2 linked regions of the Xenopus tropicalis genome follow. The protein of the gene in region 1 interacts with the protein of each later gene in a pairwise test. Links are inferred from orthologs where the notes say so. Each region holds a gene or a part of one and is shown on either strand. Other genes may lie near its edges. The genes, in order: tmpo and lmnb2.

Region 1 (4,438 bases):
TATTATGCAGCGGATAGAGTGACTATAGTTTCAAAATATTTTTGTAGTAAAGATTGCCTTTTTGAAAATTTTAATTAATATTTGTGATAATTTGTGCAAAGCTATGCAGTCTTTTTTGGGGTTCTGAAAGGGAGCTTAAAGTACAAGCTGATTCAGTAGCACTATTTAATAACAATCTGGCCCCTAAACATGAAAAGAGCAGATAATTCTGTCCAATAAATTAAGATACATTACAAATTAGATTTTATATCATGATTACAACATACAGCTTTTTGATTTATATCAAATGTATGTTTACTATGGCTTTATCACCTTTTTAGCTCTAAAGGTCCCCATACACGGACCAATAGTAGCTGCCGATATCGGTCCCTTGGACCAATTCGGCAGCTAATCGGCCCGTGTATGGGCACTCCCGACGGGCCTGCCCGACCGATATCTGGCCTGAAATCAGCCAGATCTCGATCGGCCAGGTTAGAAAATCTAGTTGGATCGGGGACCACATCGGATCGTTGATGTGGCCCCCGGACTGACTTTGTCTATGCCCGCCATTATAATTCGTTTGTTGGCCCCAGGGCCAAATGATCGAATTACCCTGGATTCTCCCGATATCGCCCACCCGTAGGTGGGGGATATCGGGAGAAGATCTGTTCGCTTGGCGACATCGGGCCAAAAATAATGAGGGTTTTTATAAAGACTGGGCAAATTTGCACCTGGGCAGTAACCTATAGTAAACAATCAGTTATTAGCTTTTTTTCATCCAGCAACAAATTCAGCAATAAAAGCAAATACCTGATTGGTTGCCATGGTTACTGCCCAGGTGCAAATTTGCCCAGTCATTATAAATTACCCCTATTGTGCTTTTGACTGCTGGGTCACCTCCATACTACAGGTCTGAGGCACTGCACCCAGACTATTGGAACAGAGTGGTGAATGGCCATGCGAGCATATTTTTTTTTATGAACAGTTACAGAAGGGCTCGCCTTCAGTGAAGGATCAGGGACAAGGCACTCGGGCCAACCTTGCAAAGTGGTGAGCGTAGTTTTTTTGAAGAGTCTCATTTTAAATTGGTTTTGACAATTTACCAGAAAAAAAAGTACTCAATAGTGGTTGGAGCAGAATATATATTTGTTGTACCCTGTGTAAATGCACATCAAGTTTCAATATGATAAGTGAAGTTTGACTTCACAGTTTTAATACATATTAACCCAGTTTTTCAGTATTCAAACTATCACAACATACAATTATAAGCGAACAAAAAACCCACATTTCTACAAATACGTTTCACATAAGACATTATCAGATCACTAACAACATAAATCCCATGTACCAGGATAAAAGTTTGAAGTACCCCATTCTTTGATAAGCTTATTTGCCTCATTATGGTGCTCAGAACATTGTATACATCTACACTAATGCCAACCATACATGACACTTTACATGAGACTGGCCAGTTTGTCAAAGTATTAGTGTCAGTACTGAGTGCATATTTAAAGAAGTGTCTGGCTTCATTTCGCGATTGTTCTTATCAATAGACATTTGATAAGATCAGGACACTAAACATATATAACTGTTTTATAAGAAACCAGTATGTGCCTGATTATTTAGGCTATGGACGTACATGTCTGACAAGCACCGGACACTGTTAAAACAACCAGAGACATGAGTACCCCTCTGTACATGCCAATGCTATATTGAGTTCCTCTGCCTTTAATATTTCATCCACTGTTTAACTGTTAATAATGAAAGAAAATGCACTTCTTTAAGCACCATATACAGCAACATTTGTTTGTTGATAGTCAGGCTGTTTAGAGTGAAGACACATGGAGCTACTAGTAGCAGCTACTTAAATAGACAATGCTGATCATTTACTGATAATTGTTTCAACATGTGTTTTAGCAGAGGCAATTCTCAGTATAATCCATGGCAGGGGATTTTTTGGCGTTTAGTAGCAGTGAAAAAGTAGCTGCTACTAGTAACTCAGTGTGTCTTCACCCTTATATCCCTTGCAAAACCAACTGTGCCCTCTGAAACAATGTAACAAACTAGGTGATACAGACCTGGGGAACTAGCTTTGGCTACACCGTTTCAAGCCAGATAAAAAATATATATCTTTTTAACTTCCAAGGGTACCGATTATTGATGCGACTAAGGATACCTGGCACAATATTGCAGCAGCGCAGAAATGAGTTGCATATAGAGACAGTGATATAAAGGTTGTCTTAGATAAAGGAAACGCGTTCCAAATCATAACACAGCCACTTCATTTATTAGGATGATGACTTCACGGGAAGGTTTTGGCATAAAAACTACCCGGGTGGAAAAAAGCGGGAAGAATAAAGAGATGTGTGGGCAGTAGGGGGCGCTCGGTCACGGCAGGCGGCGGGAAACCCAATCCGGGGATTCTCATTAGCTTGATTGTAAACTAAACATTACCTCGGCCACAAAATAAAATGGCAATCTGGCCATTTACTCGCCCGAACAAACCCCTCTAAAGTGCAGTCCTTCCTCCCTGCTTGGCGTTACAGCTTCTAACAGCTTGCTGCGAATGATGGGAATAGCGCCCAGCACCTAGCCTGAGACACTTGATAGAAGCCAAACTGTATGCCGGCTAACAGAACTGCGAGCTCCAGCCCCATTTATTTACCAAGAGGCAGCCATTGTGCCTAGCGCACCTGTCCCTCTTGCGGCCCCTGAGGCTTTGGAACAGATTCAGTGATAGAGTTGTACAGGTGATAGAGTTGCAGAAGTGCCAGAGCGGTCACACGGGGCACAATGGGCTTCACTTTAGCTTCTTACCCTTCCCGGGGGGCGGCCTCTGCCTCTCACAGGGGTGGCCTCCCTCTCCTCGTCACTGGAGAAGTCTGGGGTGCTGCGGTTCTGGGAGGTGAGGTGCTGGAGGTACAGTTGCACGTACACATCTTTCCGCTGCTCCCCGCTCGGCAAAGTCACGTTGTTCGCCACCAACTCGCTCTTGAGCTTATCCTTAGTGAGTACTGACGGGTCTTGCAGAAACTCTGGCATGGTGCAGCGCTGCCGTCTCCCCTCAATGTAGAACCCCTATCACGGCGAACACAAAACAATGAGAGGAGCTTCCAATGAACAGGATGAGAGGGGGGAATCAAAACGGAAACAGTCTGCTCAGTGGCAACGGTCGCACTACATTCGACGATGTAGCGCAACAAAGCGCGCCGCCATTGGCTGGCGGACAAACCAAAAGAACAAATCATTGGCTGGGGACTTTCTTTAAAAAACAATCGACAGCGCGGCCTTTCACAGCACAGTGTGAGCTGAGATAGGGTGGGGGGGATTGAGGGCCCGCCTTTATGTGAATGGCTCCGCTAGGTGCTTCCTAAGCACCATTACAACTCGTATAGGCAACTAGCTCATGTTAACGAGCGTTAGGGCAGTGTTTGCCATGTTTTATTTACATGTTTAGAAACATTTATTTCATGTTTAACTTGTTTTTAAAGACCTAGAGGTGGGCGTTGAAAGTACGCTTTCTGTATTTGCTGATGGTACTAAATTCCTATGTAGGATGCTGTCACTTTGCAGGTAGATGTGACAGATTTGGAAAACAGGATCAAAATGGAAAACCAGGTTCAGTGCTGATAAATGCAAAGTTATGCACTTGGTACATAGTGTAGTTGTGTGTTGGTAGATTCTTTATAGAGAAGGTGATTTTTTTAAAGGAGATAAAGTGCTGTCTTGCATTAAAAAGGCATTTACTCAAAGTATTAAACATTATTTTGCCTCTTTATAGGTTTCCTAGGCCATACCTTGAATATGCATGAAAAGGCATTTTATTGGCAATAGATTAGCCACAAGTGTGCAAGCTAGAACACTGTATTTATTCTGCAGAAAGCTACAGTACCTGAGTAAACAGCTCTAGAACCCTAGAACCCCCCTCTGTTTTAGCTTGGTCTTAACTTCTGTGTTGCAGCTTTGGCTGCTGGTAACAGCACAGTTGGAGTGAGAGATAATAGGAGGGGAACAGGAGAAGAGAATAGGAGAAATAAGAAAATTGAGCAGACTCAGGCCGTGGCCTGAAGGATTTTTCTGAGAGAAGGAAGTCTGATACTGAAGAATGTTTGTACACAAAAGTAGAAATTAAATCCTCTGTTTCTTTTGATAGAGGACTCAGTGTAGCTTTTCTGTGGCTGCATTTACATAGACCTTGCTTAATTAGCTGTTGCCTTTCATTCTCCTTAGAGAAGGATATTAATGAGCTGGAGAGAGTGCAAGGATGTGCAACTAAACTGGTAAAAGGGTTGAAAGATTTAAACTATGAGGTTAGACTATCAAGGTAGGATTAGTGTTCTCTGGAAAAAAGGCACTTGCAAGGGGACATGATTACTCTATACAAGTACATTAGAGGGGATTATAGACAGATAGCAAGGGGATCTTTTTTTCCCATAAAAACAATCAATGCACCAGAAGC
Region 2 (3,822 bases), on another chromosome or scaffold:
CTACCTCCTCATAAATATTCTTTCTAAAGTCCATCTCCTCCTGCAAACTCTGGATGCGATTTTCAAAGTCAACTCTCATTAAGGTCTCCTTTTCCAGCTGTTTCTTTGCAACAGCATGGGCATCTTCAGCCTGGTAGAAAATATGCACAAGCAGTTAAGAGCTGAATGCAACGTTTAGAGACAAATATTATTTCCATCATAGAATTTCATTTCCTAGATAAACCTCTGAAGAAAGCGTATTTGCTTTTATTGTAGCAAAAACTAGCTAACCAGGTTAATAGTGGTAAATCCTGCTAAGCCATATCCCCTTGCTAATTTTTTGTAATGGGATTATAACACTATGGGGCACATTTATCAAAGTACGATCGAGTCCGAATACAGAAAACGTAGTTTTTCTAATTTATAGAACTGTGCGTATTTTTGCGTTTTTTTCATTAATTTGCATGACTTTTTTGTACCTTGCAACAAAATTTATGCAACAAAAACGTATTTGTCGCAACAAGTATTAAAGTTTTGGATTCATTAAAGTTTCGGTATAGTCACTTTCCTTGGGCCAGGTTGGAGCTGCAGAGTGCCATTGAGTCCTATGGGAGGCTTCCAAAATCATGCACAGAAGGTTCAAAGTCAGAAAGGTTTTCCCGCTGTTTATCATTCAGATACGAACATTTTGTGACTTTCGGACAGCCAATACGATATTATTGTGACTATTATGATTTTTTGTAAGCATTTTGAAGACATTTCCAATCGTCAGAAATTATCGTATCTAATCCAAATTTTACCCATTTCGAGATTCAAACTCGTACTTTGATGAATGTACCCCTAAGTGAAGGCAACAGGAAGGATAGGAGAGGCTATTCCAAGACAGGCAGTCAGTATAACCTTTATTGATGTTAAATGTTATGGGAAACAAAATCAAGGCATGTTGAACTGAAGACTATTTTCCCAACTATATAGAATCAAATCAAGTGAGAATGTAATAATGAAACAAATTAGCAAATAACTAAAATATTAAAAGCAAATATATGCCTACTTAAAAGAGTAATCATTCTGATCCCAGGCAGGGTGTGGGGTCTCAGTAAGTGAGTTTTAACCACATGCAAAAATGTCCACAAATGTCTTCATACCTTGGAAAGCTGGGCACGAAGATCTGCTACCTCTGCCTCCAGACTGCGCTTCTCACCCAGTGCAGTTCCAAGTTCTGCCTCACTACGGTGAAAGAGAGCTTCCAAATCTCTAATACGCCCCTGTGCCGTTGACAGGTCAGCATCTTTTTTTTTGTAGCTGTGGGAGTATGGAAGAAAGCTGTTAACAATACAGTATCTACCCGTTATACCAGATGTGGCCATTACTTCATATAATTTTAGTAAAAGCTTTAGTAAAGTGTATTGCTAATGTCAATACAGAGATTAGAGAGCTTTAATATGTTGAAATTAGAATGCTATATAACAATCTTATATAACTATGTAATTTGATTCAAACTGTGTGATTCAGCTGGCCAATTCAAACTGTTTGCAAAATGGCAACTTCCTAGGCTAATACTTTACATCTGAGAACAAGAGATTAGAGATCAAGAGAACAAGAGATACAAGATTAAAAGTATAAACACTGCCTGTAAAACAGCTGCAAAATCACAAGTCTTTTTTTCAGTATCTACTGAATGTGCCCCAGTCACTACTTTCTAAAAGTCAACATGGTCTCTTCTGCTAGACAGAGTAATGAGCAACCATATTTTTAAGTTTTAATTACAGATTTATAACTTTAAACATGATGGCTAACCTAGGAATTACACCTATCTGCTTTCAATATATAGTGCATCAATCTATTGGCACTAAAATACAAACTTTAATGCAACACGGGGCTGATTCTGGGCCTGCGGAAAAACATTGGCAGCCCTTCTGCTGGCATCAGCATCCCAGCTTACCTGCACCTGGAAGCAATGTGTCTACCCGGGTGCAGGCACACAGCAGATATCGGCTCTAAATGCAAACTCTCACTTTTTTGCCAATATCCACTACATGTACCTGCACCCGGGCCTACACAACGCTTCCGGGTGCAGGCAAACGTAGGGGGCTGATGCCAGCAGAGGCGTTCAGAGGCCCCACGTGGCATCAGCCTAATGGGACACTAGGAAGATATGGACAGTGCAGACATTTAAACTATATTAGGATTTCATGGTGTGTGGCAGCAATCTCAGTTCATCTCTTTTCATATACTACAAAGCCTTTCCTGCTTGGTTCTATTCTCAAATCTACCACTAGGCATAATGCAGTGTAGACAATTTCTAAGCTAATGTTACCGACATTGACAGCAATAAATAAAGGCTGAAGCTTATTAATGCCCAAGTCTGGTTTCTGTAGGAGCCAAGGCAATGCAAAGGAAAGCATTGTCCCTTTCATAAAAAATAAAGGCTTACCTTTACACCACTTTCATTTTATTAAATATCTATATGCAAAGCAACTATCAAGTGAGAAAGTGTTCACATGATCATAAGCAATAGTGATAAACCCTAGAAAGTGAAAAAAGAAAACTCACTCTAGGATCAAAATATGCTATTTTATGAACAGGAAATTCTTCAGCACTGATTAGAAGTAAGCACCGATTTTAAATGCTGAATTGGTAAGCCATAAAACTGAATTTTGAGCTGCAGAAAAAATGATAATTAAAAAATAAAAATACCAATTGCAGATTGTATAATATAACATAGTATTTTTCCATCTTACTTTTTTGTGAGCTCATCAAGATCTGATCGGAATTTTCCCAACTCTATTTGCAAACGGGCTCTCTCTCTGGCTGTTTCATCCAAAACCTTACGAGCATCAGCAAGCTCTGATTCGTACAAGTTCTTTATGCCACTAACCTGAAATATAATAAATTAAAAACTTTGCGAAACTCACTTGGATAAGTGAACTTTTATTAGGCACAGGTTTGAGAATGTTTACAGGTGTCAAAAATTTAGACTACAGAATTAAAAAGGAAGAAAAGCGATTCATTTTTAGATCTTCACTGTAAACTAGAATACGTTACATTTTTAATCCAATGATGTATTTTTTTAAGGCATGTACCCAGGCACAATTAGATTTGCTTAGATAATGTACTGCATTTATTTGGGCGTTTGCTAGTACTTTACAAAACCATACTTTAATATTTAGAATTCACTTGGATATCGGTTTTTCCAATGTTGTATTATCTGTCAGGTTGTTTTGGAATGCATAAAACAAGCTCATTGTTGTTCTGCTTACAGGGGCCAAAGAATCAATCCAATCCTGCCAACAGCCAGATAGCAACTGTGCAGCTGTTGGGAAGCCCCATATACAGAAACTTACCAAACTCAAATGTGTGTGTAAATATTTGTATTACATAATTTACCTTGAGCCACTATTTTGTAATAGTCTGTGTGCACCATCAGAGATCACCTGACAGGAAATGATGTACCAGGAAGAAGTGTAGATGTAAAAATTCTGAGATTATATTGGCTGATGTAATTTAGCATGTATGTGTGCCTTTTATTATTTTAATGCTTTATTAAAAAGTAACTTCTAAAACGCTGCGATTCTCCACATCTCCTCCTAGGCTTCAGTCAGTTGTTGCTGCTGATTTTTTAGCCTGACTTTTAATGTTTATCTTCATCTAAATTCCATCAACTTAGGCTGCAAGGGGGGGGGGGCGGCATGTGGACTTCAATTTAAGATTAAGGAATGTAGCGAAGACAGAGAACTGTTAGGGCTGTGACAGACGGGGAGATTAGTCGCTGCACGACAAATCTCCCTTGTTGCAGGCGACTAATCTCCCCAAAATGCCATCCCACCGGCTAGAATGTAAATC

What was found.
Region 2: the proteins of tmpo (region 1) and lmnb2 interact in a two-hybrid assay, tested with the Homo sapiens proteins (2 studies listed by BioGRID, with this or other methods). The link is inferred for Xenopus tropicalis from reciprocal best matches to the Homo sapiens genes TMPO and LMNB2.

The regions. Positions count from the first base shown.
Region 1 is NC_030679.2:51,508,575-51,513,012, reverse strand, and holds the start of tmpo (thymopoietin), read right to left. Parts: upstream 3,095-4,438; 5' UTR 3,022-3,094; coding exon 2,797-3,021; intron 1-2,796. UniProt on the Homo sapiens protein: May help direct the assembly of the nuclear lamina and thereby help maintain the structural organization of the nuclear envelope. Possible receptor for attachment of lamin filaments to the inner nuclear membrane.
Region 2 is NC_030677.2:92,888,568-92,892,389, forward strand, and holds part of lmnb2 (lamin-B2), read right to left. Parts: intron 2,858-3,822; coding exon 2,721-2,857; intron 1,282-2,720; coding exon 1,125-1,281; intron 131-1,124; coding exon 5-130; intron 1-4. UniProt on the Homo sapiens protein: Lamins are intermediate filament proteins that assemble into a filamentous meshwork, and which constitute the major components of the nuclear lamina, a fibrous layer on the nucleoplasmic side of the inner nuclear membrane.